Linked DNA regions of Lytechinus pictus. The protein of the gene in region 2 interacts with the protein of the main gene of each other region in a biochemical or structural test. Links are inferred from orthologs where the notes say so. Each region holds a gene or a part of one and is shown on either strand. Other genes may lie near its edges.

Region 1 (15,957 bases), on a different chromosome or scaffold from region 2:
CTTTATTTTGCACTCTTCCTCTCCCTCTTACATTTATCTCTTTATTCCCTTTTCTCTGCACCCACCCCCCTCACTCTCTCTCTCTCATCATCCTTCCTCGACTCTGTTTTGCACATTAAGTTTAACCACATGCTTTGCTCTCGAAGCATCATACATGTAAGTCATCATTAACCTGAAGATCAGGGGAGTATATCATCTACACTTTCATCTAACAAGTTGTCAGACTTTTCTTAATTCTGTTTGGGTGAGAATTACTTTTAATATGGTACGGGTAACTGTTGGATAAAACGTCAGACAAGTCCTTTCATGAAATGCTCTCCAGAAGCCCTACATCAGGGGTTCTCAAACTTTTTCTTTGAAGGGCCAGATGAGACTCCTTGTAAACCTGAAAGGGCCAGGGTGAAGTGGATACTTAGAAAAGAATGTGCACGAAGCTCAAAAACCCTTGCAGTCAGGGTCCTAGATGCTCTCTTGTGCAATCTGGCCCTTATTTTGAGAGCATCTAATCCAACAAATTTATAACAGTTTCATATGGAACGCAGGTAAAATTAGAAAAGATTTCAAAATACAGCGAGATTCAATATAAATGATAACAAAATTGTAGTTCTTTGTTAAAAGGAATCTAGATTGTATCTATACATACCTGGTATTGGGGTCACAGATAATGTCTTGAAGTATCAATATTTTTTGGTAGTCAAAGTAGAAGGAATAATAGAGCATGTCTTTTGTAGACTAACAAGGATAGTCTCCTAGTCACTTTCAATATGGGGAAAGTGACAGTCTGTCAGCAACAAGTTGCTTGAACCTTGGCACAAAAGGTGTAATTGCCAGACGAAGGCACTGGTGCAAATGTTCACTGGTCAAGCAGGGGCGGGGGGGGGGGGGGGGGGGGGGGCAGCCCCCCACTTTTTTCCAAAACCATGTACAAAAACGTAAAAATTACCATATGATTGTGATTTTTTGCATGGCCAACCCCCCCCCCCCCCACTTTGAAAACCGTTCCGCGGCCCTAGCCTGTCAAGGTATGAGTTAGTTCTTTATAATGTTCATTCAACATGGTTCATTCAACATGGTGAGAACAGCGCTGGTCAACTAATAAGTAGATCGAACAGACAGAAAAGACTCCACTAAACTTTTTGACTGCCATTATACGGTTAGGTCTACATTGATACACAATGTAATCATATTGAGCTATGTTTCATAGTGTGACTTAAAAGGGATTAAAAAACCCAGAGTCTCGCGGGCCGGATTGAGAAGTTCCGTGGGCCGGATCCGGCCCGAGGGCCGTAGTTAGAGAACCCCTGCCCTACATGAACAAATTATTGATAATAAAGTTTGCGTGATGGAGTGTTATTTACATTTTGTTCTGTTATTTTACATTATTTGATTTATCTAAGATTTTTTATCTCAAATACTGAGAGTATAAGAAAATATTTCCTTGCTTTAGGGCAGATCTAGATATCAAAATAGACCATAAAACAGGAAGATTAATAACCACATACCTTGGGACTCTACATCCAGTGGGTTTCAATGAAGTAAGACTTGGCTTCTTGTTGAACAATTCATCCAAGCTCAGAGGTTTGGGGTGATGATATGGAATCTGTATTGTAGACTCTGTGTAAAAATCAATACCGGTATATCAAATACTTTGTTATTCGAGGGTCCAGTTTTTATAAATCTTCTGTTATCAACAACATTAGAATTATGGTATTGAAAACTCCTCGATTGGTTGGATTTGATCAGCTGTTGGCAAATTGGTCATGAATGAGTTTGCATTTGTTATTGATAACAAGCTCTATGAAACAGAACACTTCGCTTATCATTGATAAACAAATTCTATAATTCCATGGTAAGTTTGCTCTCTGCCAATAAAAAGGCAGAATTCAGAAGATTATCACAGTAGCTATTATCTGCAATTGACAGTTTTATGAAACATTGGAATGATAACCAATAAGCTTAAACTTGACATTTTGACTGGATTGGAAAGTTAATTAGTGGTGATATATGAACTTACCTCTGACAATTCTTTGAGATTCACTATGGATCTGCTGTAGTTCATCCTTGCCGATTCGTTTCCTCCTCATAGACTGAAATCAAAACAATTAAAATGTATAATTATCAACTGTGTATCATGCAACATATATCTAAGTGTATCGAGAATAGAATATTGAGATATGTAACAAATTTAAGAATCTGACCAAAACACCATTGCTATGTATTTAGAGTGAATGTAAATATTAAGACATTTATAATGTGATTCCACTTCAAAAAATTGTGCCACCATTATAAGCTAAGATTGTGAAAGTGATTTCATTTTTTAATGTTTCTTCCAAATCCCAATATCCATTTCTATATTTGGCTAGATCTATACATTTGAAACCGAGACGTAAAATCTCGAAACATAATATTGTAATTAGAAATAGAATGTTACAATATTAATTATAATACTACATAACTATTATACCATAATACTACATAACATGCCTATTGCAACCACCTCTGGTGGGTGGAGCCTTGAGATAAAAACCTTACCCTCTTATCCCCATTAGACTCTTCTTCTGGATCTTGAGGCGGTGGTGTTAATTGGAAAGCAATTTCTCCTTCCTCATCCTCGTCACTACTGCTATCATCACTGCTTCCTATAGTCCTTCCGCTTTTCTTTCTTTCTTTCTGCGTTTTTTGTTCACCATCATCATCAGAGTCATCGTTACTGCTATCACTTCCTTCATCGCTTTCACCACTGCTTTGTACATGCCTTCGAATCTTCTTCTTTTCTTTTGGTTTATCATCATCACTGCTCAGACCATCACTATCGTCGCTACTCCCTACAGAGCGACGAATATTCTTTTTTCGTTTGGGTTTATCCTCTTCATCATCATCACTCTGGCTATCGTTCTCATCACTACTTTGTACTCGTCTACGAATCTTCTTCTTTTCTTTGCGCTTGTCATTGTCCGATTCATTATCACTGTCATCTTGTTGTCTACCCTCCATTTGATCAGCATCTGCTTCCTGATCACTTGCTTCACTTTCTTCTTTTTCACTGTCAGACCCTAAATCTCCTGCAAAACAATCAGAACAGCACAAATAGTTATTACTTCCAGTGGAAGTGCTGATTAAAGATACAGAAGTTTGCGTTAGTCTTTCGTGTATAATCATTGTTAAATAACCTCCTTTTGGGACCTTAACCCTAAAAGGACTGGGCTATTTGAGACGTATTGAGGGCTGGGGGGGGCCATGATGGCCACCCTTCTGATCTCGGCCGCCTTTTGCGCGATCGCGCAGAAATTTGGCACGCACATTCTTTACTGCATAAACTACAAGCCAGTATAAAAGAAAAATTCTGAAAATAATTATTTTTATCTATTATGAATAAAATATGTAAATTTATTCGTGAAAACCATTATTTGCATATTTAACACCCAATTTCACTTCAAATTTTCTTTTTTTTCCAGATGTCATCTTTGTAAACAAAGTTAAAGGTTTCCACAAAGAAAAATTGCAAAAGCCAATTTTTTCCATATGTATTTCTTTGTTTTTGGAATTTCTTATGTATTTCTTTGTTTTTTCATCTTTTTTTCATTGTTTTTTTCAATGGAAATTATTACACACAATTTAACAACTAAATTAATAAGGCAGACCAATTAGAATGAAAAATAATCACCCTTTTATGAATTTCATCTCCCATAGACTTTGTACACAAAGTATAAAAATGAGCCATTTTCGGCCTGACATTGTCTCGTAACCCGTAGGACGCGAATTTGGTCTCAAAAGGTGCGCGAGACTTCAACAAAAAAAGTCATAAAACATTGCAGCGCTACCTTTTTGCATTTCAGAAATATTGCGCGAAGCATCAAGGGAGGGGCCATCATGGCCCCCCAGTCCTTTTAGGGTTAAATAGTAGGAAAGTCTCATTTTTCTGTATAGACACAAAATTTGAAGTATCCCTGAATAAATTAATACTACAAAATAATGTTCAAAACAACTGTTTTGTAATGTTGCATTTTGTATTGATTTAATATCAGAAAATGTAACTTTTATCTTTAATAATCTAACTTAAAAGCCTTATGGTCATGATCTTAAAATGAGTTAGAACAGAATAAAAAAATGGCCACCCAAGTATGTAATGTGAAAATCAAGGGCTAAAGGATTCTTGTAAGAATGCATAATTGCTGAGAAATGTGCCTCGGAATAGTTTACTAGATAGATGGTGCATAATAAATGCTGTGTTTATTATCAAATGAACAAAATAAGCATGTTACCACAAGTACATGTACATAGTGTGCAGGCATTTGTATCACTATGTTTAGTTCGTAGAACTAGATGTATGACGGTACACTTAAAATAAACCTTGGAATGTAGAGACTTTCTCATCAAAATACCGGTGTTGTTTAGCTGCAACTGTGCTTGTTTTAACTTTAACCAAGTTCATGTAGCCAAATGGGTTCAAGCATTTACCTTGATCTAAAATACTTGGTATTCTCTCTTCATCTTCATCATCACTCAGGATAAGCCGATGAGTTTTAGTGGGTCCCTTCTGTCTGGCTTTCATTCTGACTATCTCCTCCTCATCACTTTCATCATCATCTGCATCAAACAGGTCAGAGTTTATCAGAGGGTCTGGTGCCTACATCAGAAGATAGATAGGAATGAGAAAATTTCAAATCCTTCTGCTTAGTTCTCTGAAATATCACAAGACATGGACATGACATTGATTGCTATGTCTATGCACATCCAGTGTTCACCATGGAATCTTGTGTTAAGTAGACAAGAATGTCTAGCTTGTGTAGAGTATGGTCTTCACTCTTGTATTGATAAATAATAAATAAACTATGTACCTGTCTTGTGGTCAGGTTTCCTCATTTCTTCTACAAAGTAATGATTACAGTATCACTAAAAAATATTGCCTTTGAAATAAAACCAATGGAATATTGTGCTTCAATCATGCAAGATCATAATTTAACACTCCAAATATGTGAACAAAGTCTACTCCAAGTTTTGGTAAAGCCTCCCACTGTAGTATTTAAATTCATTACTTTATTGTGTGAATCATGATGTAAATGATATGAAGTTTGTGATTTTACATGAAAATTGATTTGTGTCTTTTCAGAACTGGAACACACTAAAATCCAAACTTTGAGCTTCTGAGAGCTGAACTATAGCTCAGTCGGTAGAGCGGGGGTTTCGGATTCCGGTGACCTGGGTTCGCACCGGCCAAGTGGTGCGCTAGTGCCCTTTGGTAAGGCATTTATCCTCATTACCAGGTCCCTCGGAGAGGACCTTAAGCCGTTGGTCCCCTGGTTGCTTGCTCACAGGTTTTCGACGTGCTTTCTTAGCAGTCAGGTAAAAAACCTCGGTATAATTTGTGTCTCAGTCTGAGTTCTGATTTTTACGGCCTACTAAAATTTATTCTCAACATACATGTAGCAAAAGTAAAATTTAGATCTAACTTCATAGATCTAACGTTGATATATAAAATCTTGAGTTTGGCAAAATATATATAGGCCTATATACCGTATATATAATATATCAGCGATCGCGAACACGCACCGCCACCTAGCCTGGAGGCGTCTGGGGAGTAAAAGTCATCTTACTCTACGTAGGCTTACTCCCCACTGACGCCTGGGACACCAAGGTATATTCACGCACGTACGGAAACAAAACCTGAAACTTTCGCCCCCGAGATTTCTACTTTCCCTCTAAAAGATCTAGCCCTAAAACATGTAGGGTTCAACTTCATTTCTGCGATATCGATTTTGTTTTTAAAGAAGAATTCATTAAAAAAACGAGAAAAATGTTATGAAAAGATGGGAAGAGCTTACGGCCGTGTTTACATCGCCATCTTGATTTCTTTGTCTTCCGCTTGGCGACAGCACGCAAATCGTGCTGTCGCCAAGCGGAAGACAAAGATTTAGAAATCAAGATGGTGACGTAAACACGGCCAGCGTTAGCTCTTCCCATCTTTTCATAACATTTTTCTCATTTTTTTAATGAATTTTTCTTAAAAAACGAAATCGATATCGCAGAAATGTTGGAAATGAATTGAACTTTGAAGTTGAACCCCATGTACATCTACAGTACATGTTTTAACAGTTAGGCCTTAGGGCTAACGTTAGATCTTTAATTAGGCTAGAGGGAAAGTAGAAATCTCGGTGGCGAAAGTTTCAGGTTTTGTGGCCGTACATGCGTGAATATACCTTGGTGTCCCAGGCGTCAGTGGGGAGTAAGCCTACGTAGAGTAGATGACTTTTACTCCCCAGAGGCCAGACGCCTCCAGGCTACCGCCACCGGTTAATGCAGCTCAGCCCAAACACACTCTGCACTGCGCCTGGCATGAACACTCGTACACAGCTCAGGCCCGCCCGCCTCGAAACGAACGGGGACGGTACGGCACACAACAACAGCAGCTTTCGCTAGCCTAAAGCCCTGCAGCCACAAATTTTTTCAACGCCTTTTCACTCACCCGTATTGGAGCTGATTCTACACCGAGCATGGCGAGTTTGTTGAGTAGATTAGCTTGAAGAATAACCTTTTTAAGCTTAAGGAATTCCAATGACTTTAACTGCAGTAGAAATATTGAAAAAGGAAAATGTCACGCAGTCGGATGGGTTTTTGTCGTACAATTTATTTCATGTTTTCGCGCTCCATATCTGAATTCTGCGCGCGCAATATTTACGGTAGTCTTGATTCAATTACGGTATGACAGTGTGACGTGGATGAGTATTATATTACTCAAGCAAAAACAAAAAACCCCAAAACGGGCAAAAAAAAACTTGAAATGAAATATTACCGGTATTTATTGTAATAAAAAAAATTGCCTTATTTTATTTCTTACCTAAATGATTTGTATATTTGGGTTGTTTCATCTATCAAAATTAAAAAGAATTGAATCATTACGAACGTTACGCTAATCTCGACCATAAAAGTCTGAATGAACAGTCAGTCCGCAAGCCCTGAAAAAGTGGTAGGCACTTATGATCCAAGTTTGAAAGGAGACTCGTAAAATGACGTCAGTCTCGCCGATGAATATTCATTAGATCGTGGTCGTGCGTGTTCAATACACACTGCGTGCAGGCATGCAGATAGTTATATGCGAGGAACTTTGGCTCCAGAGACAAGTTGTCAAATAACGTGTGTGTGTGTGCGTGTGTGTACCATCGGCTGGTAGTATGCCATGCTGTCTAAGACTTCAAACGCGTCGGAGAGAGTGCATGGCAATTCGGTAAAACGAAGTTTCCGATACAAAGAGATAATAAAATAACACTATGTACAGTACGCCCGGGGGTGCCACTTACATTGACGAGTGGATACCATGCGCGACCAAAAAAAACACGTAAAAAGGATGTCTTTTTCAAGAGAGGGCACGTTACGTACGTAACGTGATAAGGGTGTCAAAAACACAAAAATATTGAAAAAAGGGTATCTATTTCCAGTATACGTTGAGAGGCAAATGTCAGATCAGGGGAGGCAGGAGTACAATCAGGTTTTTTTTAAGGGAAGAATAGTGTAGAATAAAAGGTATTATATATACCCAAATGATCTAGGTGAGGGAAGTGAACAATGATGTTTTTTTAAAAAAAGAATGAATATACCTTACCTGAATATATATTATGGTGAAGCCAATTTAAAAGGAGGTGAGACAAGTTTCAATGGAGGTTTTTAAAAAGAATAAACTGTATTATGGTGAAGCCAGTTTAAAAGGAGGTGAGGCAAGTTTTAATGGAGGTTTTTAAAAAGAATAAACTGTATTATGGTGAAGCCAATTTAAAAGGAGGTGAGGCAAGTTTCAATGGAGGTTTTTAAAAAGAATAAACTGTACTACAAATTATGGTGAAGCCAATTTAAAAGGAGGTGAGGCAAGTTTCAATTGAGGTTTTTAAAAAGAATAAACTGTACTACAAATTTAAAAGGAGGCGAGCTAGCAACGTTTCAATGGAGGTTTTTAAAAAAGAATAAACTGTACTACAATTATGGTGAAGCCAATTCAAAAGGAGGTGAGGCAAGTTTCAATGGAGGTTTTAAAAAAGAATAAACTGTACTACAAATTATGCATGAAGCCAATTTAAAAGGAGGTGAGGCAAGTTTCAATGGAGGTTTTTAAAAAAGAATAAACTGTACTACAAATTATGGTGAAGCCAATTCAAAAGGAGGTGAGGCTAGTTTCAATGGAGGTTTAAAAAAATATACTGTATTATGGTGAAGCCAATTTAAAAGGAGGTGAGGCAATTAGTTTCAATTGAGGTTTTTTAAAAGAATAAACGTACTGTACTACAAATTTGAAAGGAGGTGAGGCAAGTTTCAATGGAGGTTTTTAAAAAGAATAAACTGTATTACAAGTTATGGTGAAGCCAATTTAAAAGGAGGTGAGGCAAGCCTCAATGGAGGTTTTTGAAAAGAATAAACTGTATTACAAGTTATGGTGAAGCCAATTTAAAAGGAGGTGAGACAAGTTTCAATGGAGGTTTTAAAAAAGAATAAACTGTATTATGGTGAAGCCAATTTAAAAGGAGGTGAGGCAAGTTTCAATTGAGGTTTTTAAAAAGAATAAACTGTATTATGGTGAAGCCAGTTTAAAAGGAGGTGAGGCAAGTTTTAATGGAGGTTTTTAAAAAGAATAAACTGTATTATGGTGAAGCCAGTTTAAAAGGAGGTGAGGCAAGTTTCAATGGAGGTTTTTAAAAAGAATAAACTGTATTATGGTGAAGCCAGTTTAAAAGGAGGTGAGGCAAGTTTCAATGGAGGTTTTTTAAAAGAATAAACTGTACTACAAATTTAAAAGGAGGCGACGCAAGTTTCAATAGAGGTTTTTAAAAAGAATAAACTGTACTACAAATTATGGTGAAGCCAATTTAAAAGGAGGTGAGGCAAGTTTTAATGGAGGTTTTAAAAAAAGAATAAACTGTACTACAAATTATGCATAAAGCCAATTTAAAAGGAGGTGAGGCTAGTTTCAATGGAGGTTTAAAAAAATATACTGTATTATGGTGAAGCCAATTTAAAAGGAGGTGAGGCAAGTTTCAATTGAGGTTTTTTAAAAGAATAAACTGTACTACAAATTTGAAAGGAGGTGAGGCAAGTTTCAATGGAGGTTTTTAAAAAGAATAAACTGTATTACAAGTTATGGTGAAGCCAATTTAAAAGAAGTGAGGCAAGCCTCAATGGAGGTTTTTGAAAAGAATAAACTGTATTACAAGTTATGGTGAAGCCAATTTAAAAGGAGGTGAGACAAGTTTCAATGGAGGTTTTAAAAAAGAATAAACTGTATTATGGTGAAGCCAATTTAAAAGGAGGTGAGGCAAGTTTCAATTGAGGTTTTTAAAAAGAATAAACTGTATTATGGTGAAGCCAGTTTAAAAGGAGGTGAGGCAAGTTTTAATGGAGGTTTTTAAAAAGAATAAACTGTATTATGGTGAAGCCAGTTTAAAAGCTAGAGGTGAGGCAAGTTTCAATGGAGGTTTTTTTAAAGAATAAACTGTACTACAAATTTAAAAGGAGGCGACGCAAGTTTCAATAGAGGTTTTTAAAAAGAATAAACTGTACTACAAATTATGGTGAAGCCAATTTAAAAGGAGGTGAGGCAAGTTTTAATGGAGGTTTTTAAAAAGAACAAGTGGAATGCCTCTGGCCGTCTCACCTGCATCACGCGATTCAATATAGCAGCAGTGCTGATTTTGAAAACTACTATAACTCGCACAAGATGTTCAGTGATACTTGGTTACTCTTATTTCCACGTTTTATGAACTAGACCAATACACTTATAGAGATATGATGGCAATTCAACAAATACCCCCAACGTGGCCAAAGTTCTTTGACCTTACATGACCTTTGACCTTGATCAAGTGACCTGAAACTCGCACAGGATGTTCAGTGATACTTGATTACTATTATGTCCAAGTTTTATGAACTAGACCAACACACTTTCAAATTTATGGCTGTAATTCAACAAATACCCCAATTTGGCCAAAGTTCATTGACCCTAAATGACCTTTGACCTTGATCATGTGACCTGAAACTTGCACAGGATGTTCAGTAATACTTGATTACTATTATGTCCAAGTTTCATGAATCAGATCCATAAACTTTCAAAGTTATGATGGTAATTCAACAGATACCCCCAATTCGGCCAAAGTTCATTGACCCTAAATGACCTTTGACCTTGGTCATGTGACGTGAAACTCATGCAGGATGTTCAGTGATACTTGATTAACCTTATGTATAAGTTTCATGAACTAGGTCCATATATTTTCTAAGTTATGATGACATTTCAAAAACTTAACCTTAGGTTAAGATTTTGATGTTGATTCCCCCAACATGGTCTAAGTTCATTGACCCTAAATGACCTTTGACCTTGGTCATGTGACATGAAACTCAGGCAGGATGTTCAGTAATACTTGACTAACCTTATGGCCGAGTTTCATGAACTAGGTCCATACACTTTCTAAGTTATGCTGTCATTTCAAAAACTTAACCTCAGGTTAAGATTTGGTGTTGACGCCGCCGCCGCCGCCGCCGTCGCCGCCGCCGTCGCCGTCGGAAAAGCGGCGCCTATAGTCTCACTCTGCTATGCAGGTGAGACAATAAACTGTACTAAGAATTATGGTGAAGCCAATTTAAAAGGAAGTGAGGCAAGTTTCAATGGAGGTTTTTAAAAAGAATAAACTGTATTATGGTGAAGCCAATTTAAAAGGAGGTGAGACAAGTTTCAATGGAGGTTTTAAAAAAGAATAAACTGTATTATGGTGAAGCCAATTTAAAAGGAGGTGAGGCAAGTTTCAATGGAGGTTTTAAAAAATAAACTGTATTATGGTGAAGCCAATTTAAAAGGAGGTGAGGCAAGTTTCAATTGAGGTTTTTTAAAAGAATAAACTGTACTACAAATTTGAAAGGAGGTGAGGCAAGTTTCAATGGACGTTTTTAAAAAGAATAAACTGTACTACAAATTTAAAAGGAGGCGAGGCAAGTTTCAATGGAGGTTTTTAAAAAATAATAAACTGTACTACAAATTATGGTGAAGCCAATTTAAAAGGAGGTGAGGCAAGTTTCAATTGAGGTTTTTAAAAAGAATAAACTGTATTATGGTGAAGCCAGTTTAAAAGGAGGTGAGGCAAGTTTTAATGGAGGTTTTTAAAAAGAATAAACTGTATTATGGTGAAGCCAGTTTAAAAGGAGGTGAGGCAAGTTTCAATGGAGGTTTTTTTAAATTACCTCTTGTGTGAGTGAAGATTTTTAGTCAAATTTCTATTGTCAGCAAGGTCATGTTAAAAATGTAAATATATAATATATTCTTGGTCTAGCAAAGGCAGTGCCATAAATTCTGACTGCATGTAGTTGAGAATCCATCTAGTTAGTCATAAAACATCAACGGCTAATTGTATCCATTCAACTAATTAGGGTTTCTTATTCCTACGATACTTGCTAATGTTAAATCATGGAGAATCACCTGTGTAAATAATGATACATTGTTTGTTAGCATTAATCGGCATTGAGGCTGATAAATTTCTTTGATAACTATTTGATGCAAGATTATATGACCTTTGTGTTTTATTCAGTATTTTTAGACTGTCTCATATCATTTTGAACATAATTTGCGACCATTTTTGCTGCCCACTCAACAGTCTTTGTAGATGTTTGTGCAAAAACTTGATTAGAATGCATGCCGTTATCACACAGTACTTGCTAACTTTTATTATCTTTTATCATGATCCTAGGCCTGCCAGTACTGAAAATAAACGTATTTTAAACTGTATTATAGCGTATATTTTTATTTACTCAAGCTGCAGTTGCTTTCCATGATCATGAATTGGTTTTATAATACTTGCTGTTAACTAATATAATTGTCACTTGTTTTTTCTAACAGCGAGAATATATTGCTATATGTGTCCAGCCACCCCAATACCAACAATAAATACATTGATTTAAAGATTCTCATTGATCTTGAGCGATCACATCCTAAGCTGTAAAATGATTTATCTTGTTAATATTGATCAATAATATCCCTCGCTAGTACTTCATTGAATGCAGAAGAAGTTTGGTGAGAGCTTCAACAAATAAGAGAACAAGATTTGGGGTTCACTTAAGCATGCGATGTGTAATATGTAGTTCAACTACTTAGCAGTGAGCAAAACACGGATATCAAAGTCTTGTATTTTGTCTTCAACTTTTACAACCTCACATTTTGACAGTATGAAGAAATTTCTTTTTTTTTTCGGATAAACCAATATTCTAAATATGCGTTTGGAAAACTGAATTACTATTTTGTTTATTTTCTACGAACCTTCCCTGGCAACTTATTGTTGATATTTGGGTGGCTGGCCACATTTGTTTTGAGAAAAAATATCAAAGAGTATATGAAAAAAAGATTTATGTAAAAAAGCTTGCCTAGCTGTTGGTATTTTCTTCTATTGTACTTTGTCATGTAACTCTGGTAGATTTCATTTCGTTACACAAAATGGGGTTCAGTATTCAGAAAAACCATTAACCTTGCCTCAACCACAACAGTACTTGCCAAACTGAATAAATCAACATTATATCAAGCTGTGTAGAAGAACTTAATGATCATGTAGATACCATTAAGTGCATACATATATAATGTCTTTCAAGCTGTATGACAAAAATATTCTTTTCCATCCAACATCAGCTTCTACTATTTTTTAAGGTTAGTTTTTATTGTCATGTTGGCAAATTGTGAAATAGTTCATGTTGAAATATGTTGTATTACCTGTCATGCATTTGTAATGTTATTTTTTTAGAATATATTCTGTCATCATTTTCAGTACATAAAAGTTTATTCAATGTATGCCTTTACCAAAGTTGGCCATAAGCACAGTGGGTACCAACTATCACTGAAGACAACACAACAATTACTCAAAATATATGCATAGCCTTATGAATGTACAAGTCAATAAAATCTACTATGACTACATAGCTTTTTTTTGTGCAACACAGTCATATTTCATTTGGATCAATTCAAAATTGAGTGGTGTTTTGGGGGTAATGCTATGGTAACTGCAGTTCTGTTGTCCTCTGACAGTTGGTGTTGTAAGGATGTGATTGGCAGTGTGTGGACGTCATGTTATAAGAGAAAAAAGAAAGTTAAAGTGAGAGTGTTGGCTTTGAAATGGACTCAACCTATGAAAGTTAAAGTTTGTGCTGCAGAAACTGGTGTGGTAGTGGGATGATAATGATGATGAGGAACAGGGCCGGTATTCAATGCTACTCTTAAAGCCACAATTTCAAGTATATTTTACTCAGTATTTTGCAAAAGTAAAATACTTATCCATCTTTGGTATTCAATTGCATTTTTTTTTGGCTAAATATTTTGCTTAAATGTAAGTCAGCCATCTACTAGACTTAAGTCTACATATACAAAAATGATACGCACAGAAATACATTCACACATTTGGCACTATTTGGCTCAAAATTTATAACATCACAATGGGTATTTAATAGTATTTAGTTCAATTTGGATAAGGTAAATTCTGAGATCTGATCTGCATACAAGTTTAAGCATTTTGATAAGCCAGCCAAATTGCTAAGTAAAATACTTACAAAATCAAAACTTAGAATTTAATAGGCGGCCGAGGTATTATTTTCTTCCAGAGGACATGTACAGATTTCTTGTTGACAAAGGATGACATGATGATTATTTTGCAAATATGGCTTATTAAAAAATATATTATGTATATTCCATTTCAGTGACAATTGCATTTTTGGGGAGGGGATATTACGTATTTGGGAATGGAAAAGTTCAAAATTAATGCAAACTTAACCTATTTACGCAGGGGGGGGGGCTCTGAGCTCTGCGATTTAAAAAAAAAAGTCTTTTGCATGTTTTGAGACCAGTTTTGCGAAGCCCGGGTACTGGGTTCTGAAAATTACCAAACAATTTGTAAGTGCATATCAGACAAAAATGGCTCAAAATTGTGATATTTGTGTACCACGTCAATGGAATATGCGTTTTCAACCAAAATTCATGAATGCCTAATTGTTTTTAGTTTTGTTGAACTAAACTGATTTATTTCATGCTGTTACGAGAGTCTGAGCATCGTTGAAAAAAAACAATGCAATACAAAGGTAAAAACACAAGAAATACATTATCGAAGAACACCACAAAGAGTTTCTAAACCAAAAATTAGAACATTTGGAGCTTTATTTAGGGAGTTAGAGGAATAGGTATAGTATACTAATTATGCACAAATGAGCATAATCAATTAATAGCAATTTGCATGAAATAAATAACTACACAATTTTGTGGATTATTAAAAGCAATTGCGATCTTTTTCTTCACTATTCATTGTTTTAGAAACCTCATTGTAGACTTGCCTCATGCACCTCTCAAGATGGCTTCATCATTTGAATTATATTCTACACTTATCATTCTTTAAAAAAAATCATTGTAGACATGCCTCACCTCCTCTCAAATTGCCTTTACCATAATTTGTAATACAGTTTATTCTTTTTAAAAACCTCTATTGAAACTTGCGTCGCCTCCTTTTAAATTTGTAGTACAGTTTATTCTTTTTTAAAAACCTCCATTGAAACTTGCCTCACCTCCTTTTAAACTGGCTTCACCATAATTTGTAGTACAGTTTATTCTTTTTAAAAACCTCTATTGAAACTTGCGTCGCCTCCTTTTAAATTTGTAGTACAGTTTATTCTTTTTTAAAAACCTCCATTGAAACTTGCCTCACCTCCTTTTAAACTGGCTTCACCATAATTTGTAGTACAGTTTATTCTTTTTAAAAACCTCCATTGAAACTTGCCTCACCTCCTTTCAAATTTGTAGTACAGTTTATTCTTTTAAAAAACCTCAATTGAAACTTGCCTCACCTCCTTTTAAATTGGCTTCACCATAATACAGTTTATTTTTTAAACCTCCATTGAAACTAGCCTCACCTCCTTTTGAATTGGCTTGTACGTAGTACAGTTTATTCTTTTTTAAAAACCTCCATTGAAACTTGCCTCACCTCCTTTTAAATTGGCTTCACCATAATTTGTAGTACAGTTTATTCTTTTTTTAAAACCTCCATTGAAACTTTCCTCACCTCCTTTTGAATTGGCTTCACCATAATTTGTAGTACAGTTTATTCTTTTTTAAAAACCTCCATTGAAACTTGCCTCGCCTCCTTTTAAATTTGTAGTCCAGTTTATTCTTTTTAAAAACCTCAATTGAAACTTGCCTCACCTCCTTTTAAATTGGCTTCACCATAATTTGTAGTACAGTTTATTCTTTTTAAAAACCTCCATTGAAACTTGCCTCACCTCCTTTTAAATTGGCTTCACCATAATACAGTTTATTCTTTTTAAAAACCTCCATTAAAACTTGCCTCACCTCCTTTTAAATTGGCTTCACCATAATACAGTTTATTCTTTTTTAAATTGAACCTCCATTGAAACTTGTCTCACCTCCTTTTAAATTGGCTTCACCATAATATTCAGGTAAGGTATATTCATTCTTTTTTTAAAAAACATCATTGTTCACTTCCCTCACCTAGATCATTTGGGTATATATAATACCTTTTATTCTACACTATTCTTCCCTTAAAAAAAACCTGATTGTACTCCTGCCTCCCCTGATCTGACATTTGCCTCTCAACGTACTGGAAATAGATACCCTTTTTTCAATATTTTTGTGTTTTTGACACCCTTATCACGTTACGTACGTAACGTGCCCTCTCTTGAAAAAGACATCCTTTTTACGTGTTTTTTTGGTCGCGCATGGTATCCACTCGTCAATGTAAGTGGCACCCCCGGGCGTACTGTACATAGTGTTATTTTATTATCTCTTTGTATCGGAAACTTCGTTTTACCGAATTGCCATGCACTCTCTCCGACGCGTTTGAAGTCTTAGACAGCATGGCATACTACCAGCCGATGGTACACACACGCACACACACACACGTTATTTGACAACTTGTCTCTGGAGCCAAAGTTCCTCGCATATAACTATCTGCATGC
Region 2 (16,095 bases):
AACTGGCACATGAATAGGTGATATAACTATAACCATGAATTTCAAGCACTAAATCCTAATAAGATAGTCCTGAGATTGCAATCTTTTTTTCAATCTCCCAAACCTTACAGAGACATACATGTATGTACATGTAGTCCTAAACAAAATAGTGGGGGGGGGGGGATCAGATGTGCATGTACCTCAAATTAGTGAGTTTTCCCCTGAGCACTTTCTGTATTATTTTCCTGACTCATTCTGGTTCATATTAAGTACTGCATGATTCAATAAATAAACATAAAAATAAAAAAAATCTCTGGGAATATATGCTTACCTTCTCCTATTTTATCAACCACCGTGAACAACTCATCAATCTTAGGAACAGCCTTCAGCATGGAGCGGATGTCTTCCCGGACTTTCTCTACAATATGAAATAAAAAGAGATACTTCAATTACATGTTCTGGTTCAGCTACATTATAAAGCACTTCAAGGCATTTAAATTATATTCATATTTCCATTCATTGAATTAATTATGTCTATAATATTTAAATATGAACAAGATGGCAAAATACACACCTGTATTGGTCAGATTAGCTTTCTCACAGTGACTTGGCAATATTTATTGTCATGCAGTGGCTGAGACGAGACTAGCGGTCAATGAAGAGAGTTTAATAGAGACATGGGTGAATGTGCGATTGAGCGACTTCAGTCGCAAGGCCTTTTGGACTCTGGCGTAGATCTATGTGAATGTATGAATTATCCATGAGCATACTGATCAATGCGCCAATTAGCACTGTAGGCACTGAAAACGTCATGGGACCGGGTACGTTCGCTTCTGTGTTACAGGATTGATTGATCTGAAAGATACACTTGCTGATTGGCCGCATATATACCTCTAGTCTAGGTCGCGACCATGAGTCAGAAACAATGGTTAACATAAGAAATCCAAGTCAAGTTCCTAAAGGCCCTATGGTAGAGCTCGCATTCATGTGGAGCGTTGTGGCCCAGTGGATTAGTCTTCGGACTTTGAAACAGAGGGTCGTGGGTTCGAATCCCAGCCATGGCGTAATTTCCTTCAGCAAGAAACTGATCCACAATGTGCTGCACTCAACCCAGGTGAGGTAAATGGGTACCGGTAGGAAGTAATTCCTTAAAAAGCTGTGTGCGCTATGAACGCCTAGCTTAGCCGGGTAATATAGGAGCGCCTTCAGCAACTAACAAGGTGGATATGTGCGCAATATAAATACCCTATTATTATCCAGCCTTTCGCGATTAGTCTTTTTTCAGTTGTAGTAGGCATTTGATATAAACATAACAGACATACTGTATTGCCTGTCTAAAGGCTAAGTACATGAACGTTTAATATTTGGCTATTCACTGCTGAATGATACGCGCCATATAAGCTAATAAACAACATGTACAAAGATGCTACAATTCGGATGCTTGAGCTGAAACACAGCTAGGCTTCCTTGGCCTCAGACCTGCCAACCTCTGGGAATAAAAAATTGTATTCTATGATAAAAAAGTGTATTTTTCCCCAAAAAAGTGTATTTCATAATAAAATGCGTGGCGCAGTCGCTCATCGCGGCGCTCAAGCTGCATGCAAGCTAAAATGCGCACTGCTCTTGCAGATGAAAAAAAAAATTTAAACATGCGTATATCTCACCCTGGTTTTAACAAAATGATTGACAAAAAAACAAGTTACCTGAAATTACATTGATCTAATAACCATATTTGTGTAAGTTTTATGAAATAGAGACATATAGAGATAATTTTTCTCAATAAATTATGATTTTGTAAAAAAAAAAATATATATATATATATTTTTACAAAAACATATTTTTTAAAGAAAAAACGTACTGCCGTATTTTGGTTGCAAAACGTACTAAATACGCCAAAAACGTAATGGTTGGCAGGTCTGCGGCCTGTTTCATGAAGAGTTTTGACAAATATGGCAACTTCCATGTTAACATGGCTCAGCAACCATTCACAATCATAGTTTCCATTTTTGTCCGTTTTTTTTAGATTGTTCTTTGGGCCTGATGTTGCCATCATAAAATGATGAAAAGTGACCCATGACTGCCACATAATAAACCATAATTAAAGTAAAAGTACAAGGTTTTACATCAAGTTACATGTTAATGAATGTGTATTAACACTATTTTTTAATCTGTCCATGTTTTATAAAGGGAATGTGTTGGCGGGAAGTGAATTCCACAGCCGAGCCATCCTTGGTATACCGGTATATGAAGATTGATGAAGAGAAGTGTTTGAATTTGGGACAGTGACTATACGTAGGGGTCAATATTTATTGTATTTACAATAATTGTAAGTTGTTATGAAATGGGCCTTCTTGGCTCCCTTTAGATCTGTGTACACATATAATCAAGAATTATTTCAGACCACACTTCTTTTTTTTAAATATTTTCCTATTATTCATATCCTTGAAATATTTTGCACTGGCTATATAATATCATCCAAGAAATTAACAAGGCGATCAATGATATATCAGGTTCTCTTCAGTGACAACTGACAAATTAGGCTGATTTAAACCTATATGTACACTGTATGACTGGAATGGAAATATATACCAGTAATATCCATAACAGTCTCCCCCACCCCCTCCTTAAAAATATTTTTAAAAACACACTCATAACAACCTGAAAATAAATTTAAGAAAAAAACATGCATAAAAATCCAAACACCAACTTACCACCAGTGTTATGATGAACATTGAAAATGCTATAATTATATATTTTTTTATGTCTTATGTTATAAATTAGATTTTGCTTCAAATCATCTTGAAACTTGTTTGCATTGTGCCAGCACTGCTTACCAGTCATTCTCATTGGGCCTTTGAAAGACGATCTCTTCCGTTTCTTGCAAGTCACCATAACTGTCGGTGTCATCGGACGAAGATCAGAATCTTTCTCCTCAATCTCTCCTGCATCAATGACAACATCGAGGGCGCTGGTGGAACTGGAGTTATTTTCCCGGCCGAGCATGGTGCTGTGAAACAAGCCACAAGGAAAAAAAAGTCTGGATATTATCACAATGACCCTGGCTGTTTCATGTTTTATCTTATTTTTGCTACATGTACTTCATGCTTCAATACCAGAGATTGTCTTCCATTATTAGAGAGAGAGTCTCCTTATCAGCCCCAGGGGCCTGTTGCAGAAAGAGTTGCGTTTAAACGCAAGTCAAAATATCAAGCGCAAGTCCCGAATACGGGTGCCTCATTGGCTGAAAATCAAGTTGCACAAGATTTTTTTAGTTGCGTTTTATCGCAACTCTTTCTGCAACGGGCCCCTGGTGGGTGTTTTGTAAAGCTGTTCGGAAGTTAAGAGCGACTTTAAGAACAACTGGTGAACCTTTCTTATGCGCTCAATAATCACCAATGAACATTTAATAATGAATATCATTTACCAGAAATGATCACCAGACATTCTTAAACAGTAAACTCTTAACTTACGAACGGCTTTATGAAATGGCCCCCAGCACCAACTAACATGTAGATCTATTGATCAAAATAAGAGATATGTTGAGGTTGAATACATGTACATGTACATGTAGGTCTAACACTAGTAGTCTTCACTTAGGGGAGAGTGGGGTTGATTGAGGCCCCAGAGTAAATACATGTAAGCAGGGTGCTACATAAGCACTTGCCCGATTGCCCGGGGCAAGTAAAAGTTAGAGTCGGGCAAGTGTTTTGAAGTAAAGACCAAAACTACTTGCCCGGATTGGGCAAGCAAAATTCACAGTAGAAAGCAAAACTCTCACAGTAGAATGACCAAAATTAGGGTCGATATATGATATTGACTGATTTTTTTAAACTCTAATTTTGGTCATGGCAGGCAAGATAAAATCACTCTGGAAAAAGAAATGCAATAACAAAGTAGATCAGTTCATGTCAAAAGAGAGAAAAAGGTCAATGGTTTTAATATAAAAACACAAAACTTTCTTTTGAAGAGGTAAAACTTTTTTTTCCAAGGATTTTTTCGGGCAAGTAAAATAGATTTTGGGCAAGAATCCAACTGTTTGAAAATTTACTTGCCCGACCAGGCAAGCGCTTCTTTAGTTGTGTAGCACCCTGAATAAGGCCCCCATTTGGTTTTTAGCTCACTGCTCAAGTTTACCAGCATCAATGGGATTGCTGTTTGTATGGTATTTGAGACAATTCCTTGGCACATATCTTGAGGATAGATAACATCTCATAGCCCAGTGCACATGGCCAGGATGAGAACAAACCCAGCAGCACCTCAAAATCAAAATTTTGAAAGCATTGCTACTTTAGAGAATAAGAGAGGCAAGTAGTAGTACTGTACCTATTAACTTTTTTTTCTTAATTTAAATTTGAAAGGCATTACTGTAGTAAAATTCAACACTTTCCCCTTTTTTTCTGACGTGAAGCTTATGAACTTAATATGCCCAATGGGGCAAATGGGTCATTCCATGTCAAATCATCAAATAATCTGCTGTCATCTCTCAGATTTTTGTAAAACTTTGGGAAACAATTGGGACTCATGAAAAATGGCTAGAACTCAAATATTTTCACTAACAGCCTCTCAATTAGTGAGATACAAGCTAACAAACTTTGGACTAATTAGCACAACATCGCGAATTCAAATGGCCAAATCTCTAAAAGTACATGTATAGCACCTAGAGAGCTGGTTTTTGGTGTCATTTTAAAGGTATTTTCATGCCCTATAAATTTGTCTGGGCAACATTTTCCTACCTCCAACTACAAAACAGTTATTACAAAATATAAACTTCAATTGTGAATTTAAAAAAAAATGTATCCTTCAAATTGCCTCAAATTCATCCCACAGGTACCTTATGATGTCAAGAAGCTTCTACATAAGTTTTGTGATGGGCATTCCAATAGTTTGAGATATGAGCAATAATGTACATAAAGGATGGCATATAGGTTCGAAAATCAGCATTTGTCATGTATTATTAGTGGTGGGTTGATGTTTCAGATCACAGAGAGGACCAACTCAAAAGATGCAGCTTGTGCTCCTGAGCATTTTTACACCTTTTTCTGAAAAATCGGTTGAACCTTGAGGGGGTACCGCCCAAAAAAAATAACGATTTGGGGCAAAAAGGTTGTTGACCCCAACCCATTTTCGTCAAATTTTTATATCTCAGCTTCTGCATAAATTATTTTAATGATTTTGTGTTAATTTCTATGTTAATTTGGACAAGGAATTCATTTCTAACAATAAAAAGATGTACATGAATAGGGTCTAAATGCTGTCTTTCTAGTTACATGTAAATTCGACCCTTACTTAATTTGGGATGGGGTCAATTTGACCCCCCCCCTGGCCTTGATGAATTTCGTCACACAACCGCAATAATTTTCTACATCTATTGTCAAGCCTTGCACATCTTCTGAGACCAAATTTGTTGATGCCCGGATACACGGTTTCGAAATCACGCAACATTTTCTAAGTGCATGTCAGACCCAAAATTGGACTACGAAAAAAAGTACGAGAAATAAAAAAATTCAAAATGTTTAAAAACTCCTCAAAACAGACGGCTGCCATCTGTCTAGACTTGAAAAGAGGGTAAGTCCTACACAGGTAAACCCCAACTCCATACCAATTTACAATGGATCTATTTTAGAATAGAACGTTAGTTAGTCAGAAAGCTAGTGCACTTTCGCATCATTCAAAGAAATTAGGTTGGGGCCTCCTACACAACCCGGGGCTCGCGGGCACGGCGGCTGCGCTGGGGCCGCTCACACTCCGCATGGATGCGAAAGTGCACAAGGATAGTCGACACATCGATCTCGCATCTCATTTGGTGGCAAGATCCGATCCGTTTAAAAAATGTAACAATATAATGATAAACTACTACATGCCACGACAAAACAATTATAATTTTTAGAAGGTCGGTCTGAACTTACGTTTGACGGTTTTCCAAAAACTGCACAATGGACTCTCCAAATGCTACCGAACGAATTTCCCGCGCTGATAAACCGGAAGCTGAAGTAACGCCGCGCGTGCCAGCTCAGCGCGCTCATAGCTACCGGTACTTCATTCGTATAACCAGTCAAATGAAACTTGCAGTGGCGTTCGCAGGTGTTTAACACCCCCCCCCCCTTAATTTTGTTCTATACCCAACCCCATTCACTTTTTTTTGAAGACTTTTTTTTTTGCTTGTCAACATTTCATTCAGCTTGAACCCCCCATCGCTTTAAAAAAAATAATGCATACGCTACTCGGAAACTTGTAATATCAATATCAACATGATCTCTATAGTGACCAAGGAATTTTGAAATAAGATGTTTTGTTTTTAATTGAAATAAATCAAAGTCAATTACAAATAATTACAAAATGATTAAAAAGTGATTAGGCCTACAAATCACATTATTGTTTGTGTTTATTTCATATGTGTAACCTTTTCACATAAAACACTTCCCAATCTGTTGGTCTATTTTGTTACATGTTGTACTACATGTAGGTCTATATGCTCCCCGTACAATAGAGCTCCTTGTTTTTTTCTTCTTAAATTAGCTCGATGTCTTTTTTTCAACATACTACTCGTTAAGGGGAGCGTTTCATGAAAGGACTTGAATTGTCGGACGATTTATCCGATAACTTCCCATTTTATCCGACAGTTACCATAGTAAAAGTGATTCTCAGCCAATCAAAATCAAGGAAATTTTTCAGATCTGAAAACTTGTTGAACGAAAATGTTGATGAAACGTAACTGGTCCCCAAAACGAGAGTCATCATAAATCCCGGGTCATAAATGTAAATAAGATTTAGAAATAAATCTTTGACTAGCCATCCATAATCATAAATTGGAGAAAATGTCTGAAGAATATTTTTCTTCTTAAAGGACAAGTCCACCCCAACAAAAAGTTGATTTGATTAAAAAGAGAAAAATCCTACGAGGATAACACTGAAAATTTCATCAAAATTGGATTTAAAATAAGAAAGTTATGACATTTTTAAGTTTCACTTAATATTTCACATAATATGAACATCCTGGTCGGTATGCAAATGAGGGAACTGATGACATCTCTCACTCACTTTTTCTTCTGTATTTTATTATTTGAAATATGAAATATTCTAATTTTCTCCTCATTGTCCTGTGAAATAAAGTTTTAGTTCTCACTGAACATGTGGAGTTACCATTGCTTAACATTATATGGTTCAGTCAATTAAGTTGGTCCTTATTGTCAAATCTGTAAAAAGAAAATATTGTATAATTCAAACAATAAAAAACAAAAGAAATAGTGTGTGAGGGACATCATCGATTCTCTCATATGCATGTGGGTAAATTGTGCATATAACTATTTTGTGAAAAATAAGTGAAATTTCAAAATGTTATCGTTATTATGAATATTCAATTGTATGTGACTGTATGCTGACTTGAAATAATATTTTGCACACGGTACTTCAGACCTTATTTTTAAGTAAAAAAAAGGTTTGAATGAAGTAAAAGAAAATCAAATGTCTGAACAGATAGGCCTAAATGCCCCCCCCCCCCCCAAGCCGTGTTCGCGTATGAAAAATCTAAATTGGAAAAAAGAAAACGCGAAGTCATGCTATTTGGGATGATCCATAAATCCATTAGTTTATTGAATTCCAATGCTACTTTATGTTTAATTCACTCGGATACTTTGCTTGTTCAAGGTTGCTATATAATATAAAGAAAAGGTATTCATTATTAAATGTGTTATTCCATGTATAAAATGTGTCATATAATTTCAAAGAAAACTTGTTAGGGTATTTTTCCCCCAAGCTTTTTCCACGGGGTCATATTCTGGCGACAACTTGTTTAGGGGCCAAAATGTGTAAATAAATCCCGCGTTTAGGGTGTTATTTTGCACACAGAGAAAAACTCGTTTATGGGGTGTTTGGAAATAATTTGGCCACGCGTGTGTACAGCAATACATTTGACTGCCCCCCCCCCGGCTATATGGTTCCCCATTTGCATTTTCGTCATGTATTTCTTTTCCATTTTTTCCCGTTTTTCTTTTACCATTTCTCATGTGTTCCTTTTATTTCATCTAATGTTTTTCCTTGATCTGTGATAGAAGAGTCATTAGTATTCACAGATGAAAATATAATTCAAAACATTATTCATGTTAATTAATATATATTTGATTCCAGATTGACTTGATACAACAAAACTTTAAGAAAGTATTTTTTTCTTGCCATGTGAAAAATGTTAGTTAAGTCTGTCGTCGCACGTGCTTAGTATGCAATATAGATTTTTGTATTAAAATTCACGCTTTTATCAGTATGTAATAATTCATAAGTCGTTTTATATTTTGCATATACCACTTTTTAAAATGTACATGTATATTGTCTGTGTTTCTCCTAATTTCATTCATTATTTTCAGTCCCATTGTTCAACCTTGACCTATACATTTTAAAGAGAGGAGATTAAATTATAAATTAAAACATATTGTAGGCCTGTGCTTTGTGAAAATAAAAAAAGGTTCTCTTCAAATTTTCCATTAATAAATATTTACACACAGAAAGAATCTTTGGAATCTTTGATGTCGAGACTATAATCATTTTCTCCCTAAACGGAAGTGGTGCATGTGAAATAAATACAGAATAGCCTAGGGGATGAGAGTACATGAAGTATCTGTATTTAAGGTTTATCAATTAATGAAAGAAAAGTATTTGCATGTTTTTATCAAGACACAATTAGTGATTACTGATAACTGATAATTGAACATTTTAGTTCTTTATTGATACTCCGAATCACAGACGATACCATTCAACTTGTACCAATGTTTATTGATTAATATCCATCATGCAATATGGTTCTCATGTTATGTTGCGTTGTGCCGGATCCCTAAGCAACGATGATGTAATTGCATATGGGACTTCCATGTTGACTTTGTATGAAATTTAATAAAAATAAAGCATTTAGCATGTGGTTTGTAAATAGCTGGTTGATTTCATTTTGAATATCTGATACTACCTTGATACCTTGATTTGAAAGTGATTCGAGTACCTTGGATTGCTTGGAACTTCGGCATTTTCCTATATACTCACGCAAAACAGTTTCTGGAAATTTCTGAATTCATATAATAACGATCTTTCCTTTAAAAATACAATATGGTTCTTTTCACTATTAGTTCCTTCTAAACAACCTTACTTAACACAAGATGACTTCGTAGCACTGGATTTGACACCGACCAAACTATTTTGTTCTATATATATTATGTTCAAGTTGAGTTTAATAAATAAAGAGTCATTATGACATTTATGTTCTCAGAGTGACCAAGTATTTCATTTTTGAAAATCGAAAATCCAATTAATCATGAATAAGGCTACAGCACCCTCTACTTCCCCGCTCTTTCATATGCATAAAATGTTTTTAAACATTATACCTTTGATATCAAACAAATAAGAGCGTTTTCATGGTTATAATGAATCAAAGGAAACCATAACGCATTTTTAAAGGGAAATACTGTTGTGAATTTAGAAATTTCCAGGACCTATTTTGTGTGAGTAGGAATACCACAATCATGACAATAGCTAGTTATATCCAAGCAATCCAAGGTACCCAAGTCACTTTCATATCATAGGCGGATCAAAGGGGCGACACGGCGTGCGACCCTCCTCATCATGTTTGCGCAAAGAAAGAGGAAAAGGGCAAATACAATAGAAATGATCGAAGTAGAGGAGAAAAAAAGAAAGAAAGGTGAATAAACGAAGGGGATGGAATAGTTGGAAAATACAAAAAGTTGTATGTTATAAAAGTTTTATTCTCTCTTCGAGTTCGCATCGCAGGCCTACTCAAGGTGTTTAAATGGCAATATGTTCAAATTATTCTAGCGATACGTCTTCATTATTTGTCTTATAGCGAGATAATTGCAAAAACTGTCTGCATACAAAAAAAATCCAGCTCGCGCGCTGCGCGCTCGCATCAATTGTGAATCCAACATATTTGCCTAAAGTGTTTTAATGTTTTAATTGGGGGGGGGGGGGGGTCGTATCGAAATACAATTCGCCCAGGCTAGAACAGGTGAAGCTATAATGATAATAATAAAACATGGTATTTGTATAGCCGCAAATACCTACCTTAATTGATTTGTTATTATATGAGTTCCAGGCGCTCCTATAATATACTCCGGCTAAGTTTGGCTACCGATTTTGATGCTCGAAAGCTTTTTGAGTTTCCTGCTTCAATTTCAATCGTAATTTGGCAAATAAGATTGTACTGAAAAGTCATATAAAGTAACATAAAGATTAACTGGGTTGAGTGCGCAGCATTTTATCAATTTCTTGCTGAAGGAATTAAGTAATGACCGTGGCGTATATAGGATTGAACCAACCATCAGTCACCACCCTCTGTTTCAAAGCTAGTCCGCGGAAACTATAATCCACTGGGCCGCATACAATAGACTCGCCGGGAAAATATTATTGTTTAGGGAAACAGGGGCGGGTAGGATATGGGACCTACCTGCCCCCACTTCCTTTGACGAGTGGATACCACGCGTGCCGTGACCAAAGAATCGCGTAAAAGGGATCTTTTTCAAGATAGAGCATGCACGTTGTATACGTAACGTGGGTGTCAAAACCGGTAAAATAATGAAAAAAGGGTATTCTTTATAGGAAAGCTACGTTTTGAAGATCCAATTTGCGAGGGTATAAAACGACTGAATAATCCAAGGATATGGGGGATATGTACTTTTTGCATCAGCACTACTTATTTATTTATTTATTCATTTATTTATTCATTTCGTTTTATTTATACAGGGTATAGCCCCATCAGCATCTTGTACTTATTTACAATATAACAAACAAACAAATTACATAAGGAAATAACAAACAGAACATCCAAAATAATCATAAGTGAATACATGAAAAAAGGATGATGGTATATGAGTACAATGTAGGGAAATAACGTTAATTCATCTAGATTTCAATCAGCATTACAATAGAGGAAATTCAAATAGTTATAAGAAATTAAAAAAATTAAAAAAACATGGCTCCCCCGGCCAGTCCCCCTACATTTCAACTATTTAAATTCAGGTAAATCAATGTGATTGCTACTCAATGTGAATATATAGTACATACGAAAAGTTACTTGTGGAAACGAAAATATGCAAATCATCAATTATTTTCTATGAAATTAACGGAGAAACTCATAATTATTTTATATGTGACAATCTTTAACATGTGTTGCATGTAATTAAGAAAATACGTACACTATTACTACCTGTTTGTGTCCTTATACTAGGTACGTCCTGTGGGAGATATAGGTGGTCCCGGGAAACCTATACTCATAATCATGATAATTGTATGTTAATTGTTTGTTTGCTTCTCCTATGTAATTGTAACTCAAATGTACATAATACTCATAATATAGAAAAAGGATTGCTGGGGCTGTTAAATAACTTTCGCTGTAGGCTTACTTGTTTAGGGGGTCACAAAGTAAGGAAATACTTGTCAAGCGTACCGGTTGTTTCCAATACTTGTAAAGGGTAGAGTTTCACACACCCGATACTTGTTAAGGGGTACATTTTCAGAACATGGAAAATACCTGTTTTGGGTACTTTTCGATACCCGGTCCCGCGACTATCCACTCGTTGATATGGAAGTGCCCCCCCCCTGGGGGACCCAGGACCAAAATCCAGTTGAAACCAATTAGAGCAAAACCAATTGAAACCAGTTGGCCAACTGGTTTCAATAGGGAAATTGGAACAACTGGAACCAATTGAAACCAGTTGCCAACTGGTTCCAGTTAAAACCAATTGGGCAACTGGAACCAGTTGGCAATTGGTTTCAATTGGTTCCAGTTGAAACCAATTAAGCAACCAGTTGGCAACTGGTTTCAATTGGTTCCAGTTGTTCCAATTTCCCTATTAAAACCAGTTGAATCCAATTGGAGGCAACTGGTTTCAATTGGTTCCAGTTGAAACCAATTGGAGGCAACTGGTTTCAACTGGAACCAGTTGAAACTAATTGGTTTCCAACTGGATCCAATTGGAAATTCCAGTTGGAATGACTTAATTAGTTACAAATTAATTAGAATTTGCACTAACTATATTGCTCATGCCATCAAAGAAGCAGTGCTATATGTTTATTAATACCAATGTAAAGGGCATTGATAAAATAGACATTCTTAATGTATAAAAATTTATATGAAAGATCTTCAAATATATGTATTTGTATTTGATGTAATTTGGTAACAGTTAGTGGTGTACTGATTATCTTATAATCTGTTTTAATTATAATCTATAACATTTGTGAACATGGTTTTCACTGCTAAGCATTCTAAACACTTATCTGAAACAAGTATGGTACTTGAATTAGAAAAAAATTAAATAGATACATTTTAAATGATGATGAATCACATAAAACATTAATCTGTGCACACTGGCAGATAATATGCAAATTAACTGGTTTCAATTGGAACCAGTTGGGTAACTGGAAAATTTTCAATTGGATACCAATTGGAAGTCATTTCCAGTTACCCAACTGGATCCAGTTAGGATTTCCAGTTACCCAACAGGATCCAATTAGAATTAATTTCCAGTTAATCACCTTTCCAGTTAGAAGTCATCTCCATTTACCCAATTGGTTCCAGTTAGGATTTCCAGTTACCCAACTGGTTCCAGTTAGAAATAATTTCCAGTTGGAAGTCATTTCCAGTTACCTAACTGGTTCCAGTTAGGATTTCCAGTTACCCAACTGGTTCCAGTTAGAAATCATTTCCAGTTAGAAGTCATTTCCAGTTACCCAACTGGTTCCAGTTAGGATTTCCAGTTACCCAACTGGTTCCAGACTTCCAGTTAGAAATCATTTCCAGTTAGAAGTCATTTCCAGTTACCCAACTGGTTCCAGTTAGGATTTCCAGTTACTTAACTGGTTCCAGTTAGAAATCATTTCCAGTTGGAAGTCATTTCCAGTTACCCAACTGGTTCCAGTTAGGATTTTCAGTTACCCAACTGGTTCCAGTCAGAAATCATTTCCAGTTAGAAGTCATTTCCAGTTACCCAACTGGTTCCAGTTAGGATTTCCAGTTACCCAACTGGTTCCAGTTAGAAATCATTTCCAGTTGGAAGTCATTTCCAGTTACCCAACTGGTTCCAGTTAGGATTTCCAGTTGCCCAACTGGTTTCAATTGGTTTCAATTGGAAATTGTTATATTCCAGTTAAAACCAATTGAAACCAGTTGAAACCAATTGAAACCAATTGAAACCAGTTGGAAAGGCCAACTGGTTTCAATTGGATTTTGGTCCTGGGGACCTACACAAAAAAAATCTGCATGGTAAAGAAACAAAATGAATAATAATAATAAAAAAAAAACAATTGGTCAGGATTTCTTTTTAATTTTCATTGGATTTTCTTTACGTTTCCGTTTTTACTAATCATTTTTATTTCATTGTCATTATTGGCTGAAAAGTGATCGATATATTAAATGCAGTCTATTAAGATAAATAATTCCAAAAGCAAGCCAATGATGGGGACACTGGCGTAAATCCCGGGGGGGATGGGGGGATATATCCCCCCACTTTTCGAGGAGGGGGGGATGGCCTGTACAAACATCCCCCCCCCCCCACTTTTTACGAAAGAAATGAAAAAAAAATCACAAGAGATAATTGTTTTATTGGTGAAAATTCTTCCTGAAATACCGCTTAACAAATAAAACAATATTATTGAATCATAAAATGCAAATAAAGAGCCAGTTCACCATTTCCAAACGAAATACTTATGTCCTTATTATAACATATTGAAGAGAAACTCCCGTTTCTTCCAATTCATCAATGTCGGGGTCTATGTGAAGGGATCAAGATGGAATGTCAATGTAATCTCTAATAAAACCATTAAACCATCATGAGGTAAAAAAGATAATAATATTGGAGGGGTATTTGCCATATGGACATACAGTGGCGTAACTACGGGGGGGGGGGACATGGGGGGCACGTGCCCCCCCCCCCATCGGCTGACCAAAAAAAAACGGGGAAAAGGGGAAAAGGAGAAAAGAGGGAGAAAGGAAGAGAAGCGTATAGTGGGAAAGAAGAAAATATTATTCATTATAATGTTATATTATAATTATGTTATGTTACATTACATAAGAAACATTTTTATCATAACTTCATGAAACATAATTTGCCCAGGGCCTGGTGCTTGCATTGTCTGTTAACGAGATAAATATTCTGTTGTACTGAAACATCCCGTTTTCAAGTCAATATAAACCAAATATATTTCCTAGCACTTGAGTTATCATTGTTTTATGAAGTGACATATGCTTCTTTTTCATGACTCAAAAAGTGTTTGCCCCATGTTAAGGTCTTCGTATATATGAAACATTTTACTGCCCGTGATTACGTTCGCTATAGTGGATTGGTGAGATATGTCTGCTCTTCATGAATTCCTAAAATCAGTCCTTAAAATGTCCTTTCTTCTGATCTGAATATAAAAAATTTTCAGCTCGCGCTTCGCGCTCGCATCATTTGGATATTGAAATACGTATGGTCCTAGTTAATTCCCACAAAGAAACCTTAGAATGCCCCACTTCAGGTCTGAATTATCTAAATTTTCAGCTCGCGCTTCGCGCTCGCAATATTTTATTAGTGAGATCAGAAGCGGATCTAGAGGGGGGGTTGGGGGGGGGGGGGGTTGCAACCCCCCCAAAAAAAAAATCCGGGGACCATTTTTTTAAATCTTATCTTTTTTTTAAAACTTGTAATTTTATTTTATTCTATTTCTATGTATTTATTTCATTTGTTATTATTTTATTATTATTATTATTATTTCTTTTTGGGGGAGGGGGGGGGTTGGGCGAACAAATTTTCATGGGGGTTAATTTGGCAACGACCTCTATACCAAAAAGAGTGGTGTTTTAGATGCAAGAAAACGCCATTTTCACACACAGATTTTCAAAAATTTTCCCTACTGTGGGAGGGGGGACACCCCCCTCCAACACCCTCCCCCCTCGCTCGCTCCGCTCGCTTGGACTCGGTCGCTACGCTCCCTCGCATACCACCCCAACCCCCCCTTTATAAAAAGCTGGATCCGCCCCTGGAGATGCGTATGATAATCATGATTGCAATGACTACAAAAAGTGTTTCATGTGTTCGATGTAATTCTTATAAACCAGCAAGCGCTTGGCACTCGCATTAGATGACTATGGTGAGATATGCATACTCTTAATGGATTGCTAAAATATATTCCTCAAAATCTCGCTGTTTGGGGTCAAAATATACGAAAACTTCGGCTCGCGCTTCGCGCTCGTATTGTTTAGCTAGACGGTACCTATAGTGATTACACAAATTTGATTATAATGTCTCTTTTTAGGTGTGAATATTAAAAAAATTCAGCTCGCGCTTCGCGCTCGCATTATTTGATCAGTGAGATGCATATCCGTTTAATGACATTGTCCAGAAAATGTCTCTATTAGGTCAGTATAACTGGCAACTGAGTGCGCTCACTCAGTGATTCAAACATTTTGCTGGTGCCCCCCTCCCCAATGCCGTGACCCACGGTACGCCACAGTGGACATATCAATGACAATTCCTTGCATATCTAAAAACATGATTGCAAAAAAAACCCAAAATATTTCAGTCATCCCCCCCACCCATCAACACGGATTTACGCCAGTGGATGGGGATCGAGCATTTTACCAAAATTAATTGTCATCCGACAAGTTGTCAATGTCAGATTATTAGGGGGCTTTCTCACTGAGATTTCCTTGGGCTTTGATTTGCTGAAAGCCGATAATTTCCGGATAAAACTGGGGATAAAACCCGGCTGGGATTTAAAAAAAAACATACAAAAACAAAATCTTTTCTTATGATATTGGACGTTTTGCAGATACATTGACTTTTACTTTTAGGATTGGAAGCGAAGAAAACAAAATCGTCAAGAACCGGAGATTAAAACACCCCAACCGGCATTGTTAGAACTATTCTGCATATGATTTTCATCCACCCGTCAAAATGATTCACAGCTTGTTCATGATAAACTCCTCAGGGTATGTATAGGTACAGTTATCTTCTTTAAAAAACGGTTAAAATGGAGCAGATGTCCTCTGTGTGACACGACGACACTGGCGATTTTCTCGCAACGCACACACCCATAATATATTCAAGTACGGGTCACAAAAAGACACAATGTAGTCCCACATGCTTT

Evidence for each region.
Region 1: of the proteins of cell division cycle 7-related protein kinase-like (region 2) and claspin-like, one has a biochemical effect on the other in vitro, tested with the Homo sapiens proteins (3 studies listed by BioGRID, with this or other methods). The link is inferred for Lytechinus pictus from reciprocal best matches to the Homo sapiens genes CDC7 and CLSPN.

The regions. Positions count from the first base shown.
Region 1 is NC_087251.1:29,433,453-29,449,409, forward strand, and holds the start of claspin-like, read right to left. Parts: upstream 6,708-15,957; 5' UTR 6,494-6,707; coding exon 6,464-6,493; intron 4,628-6,463; coding exon 4,459-4,627; intron 3,063-4,458; coding exon 2,533-3,062; intron 2,088-2,532; coding exon 2,015-2,087; intron 1,615-2,014; coding exon 1,503-1,614; intron 1-1,502.
Region 2 is NC_087259.1:19,799,959-19,816,053, forward strand, and holds the start of cell division cycle 7-related protein kinase-like, read right to left. Parts: upstream 5,971-16,095; 5' UTR 5,886-5,970; intron 2,987-5,885; 5' UTR 2,983-2,986; coding exon 2,814-2,982; intron 398-2,813; coding exon 311-397; intron 1-310. Other genes in the region: AP-3 complex subunit mu-2-like, read left to right, coding at 15,903-15,937. UniProt on the Homo sapiens protein: Kinase involved in initiation of DNA replication. Phosphorylates critical substrates that regulate the G1/S phase transition and initiation of DNA replication, such as MCM proteins and CLASPIN.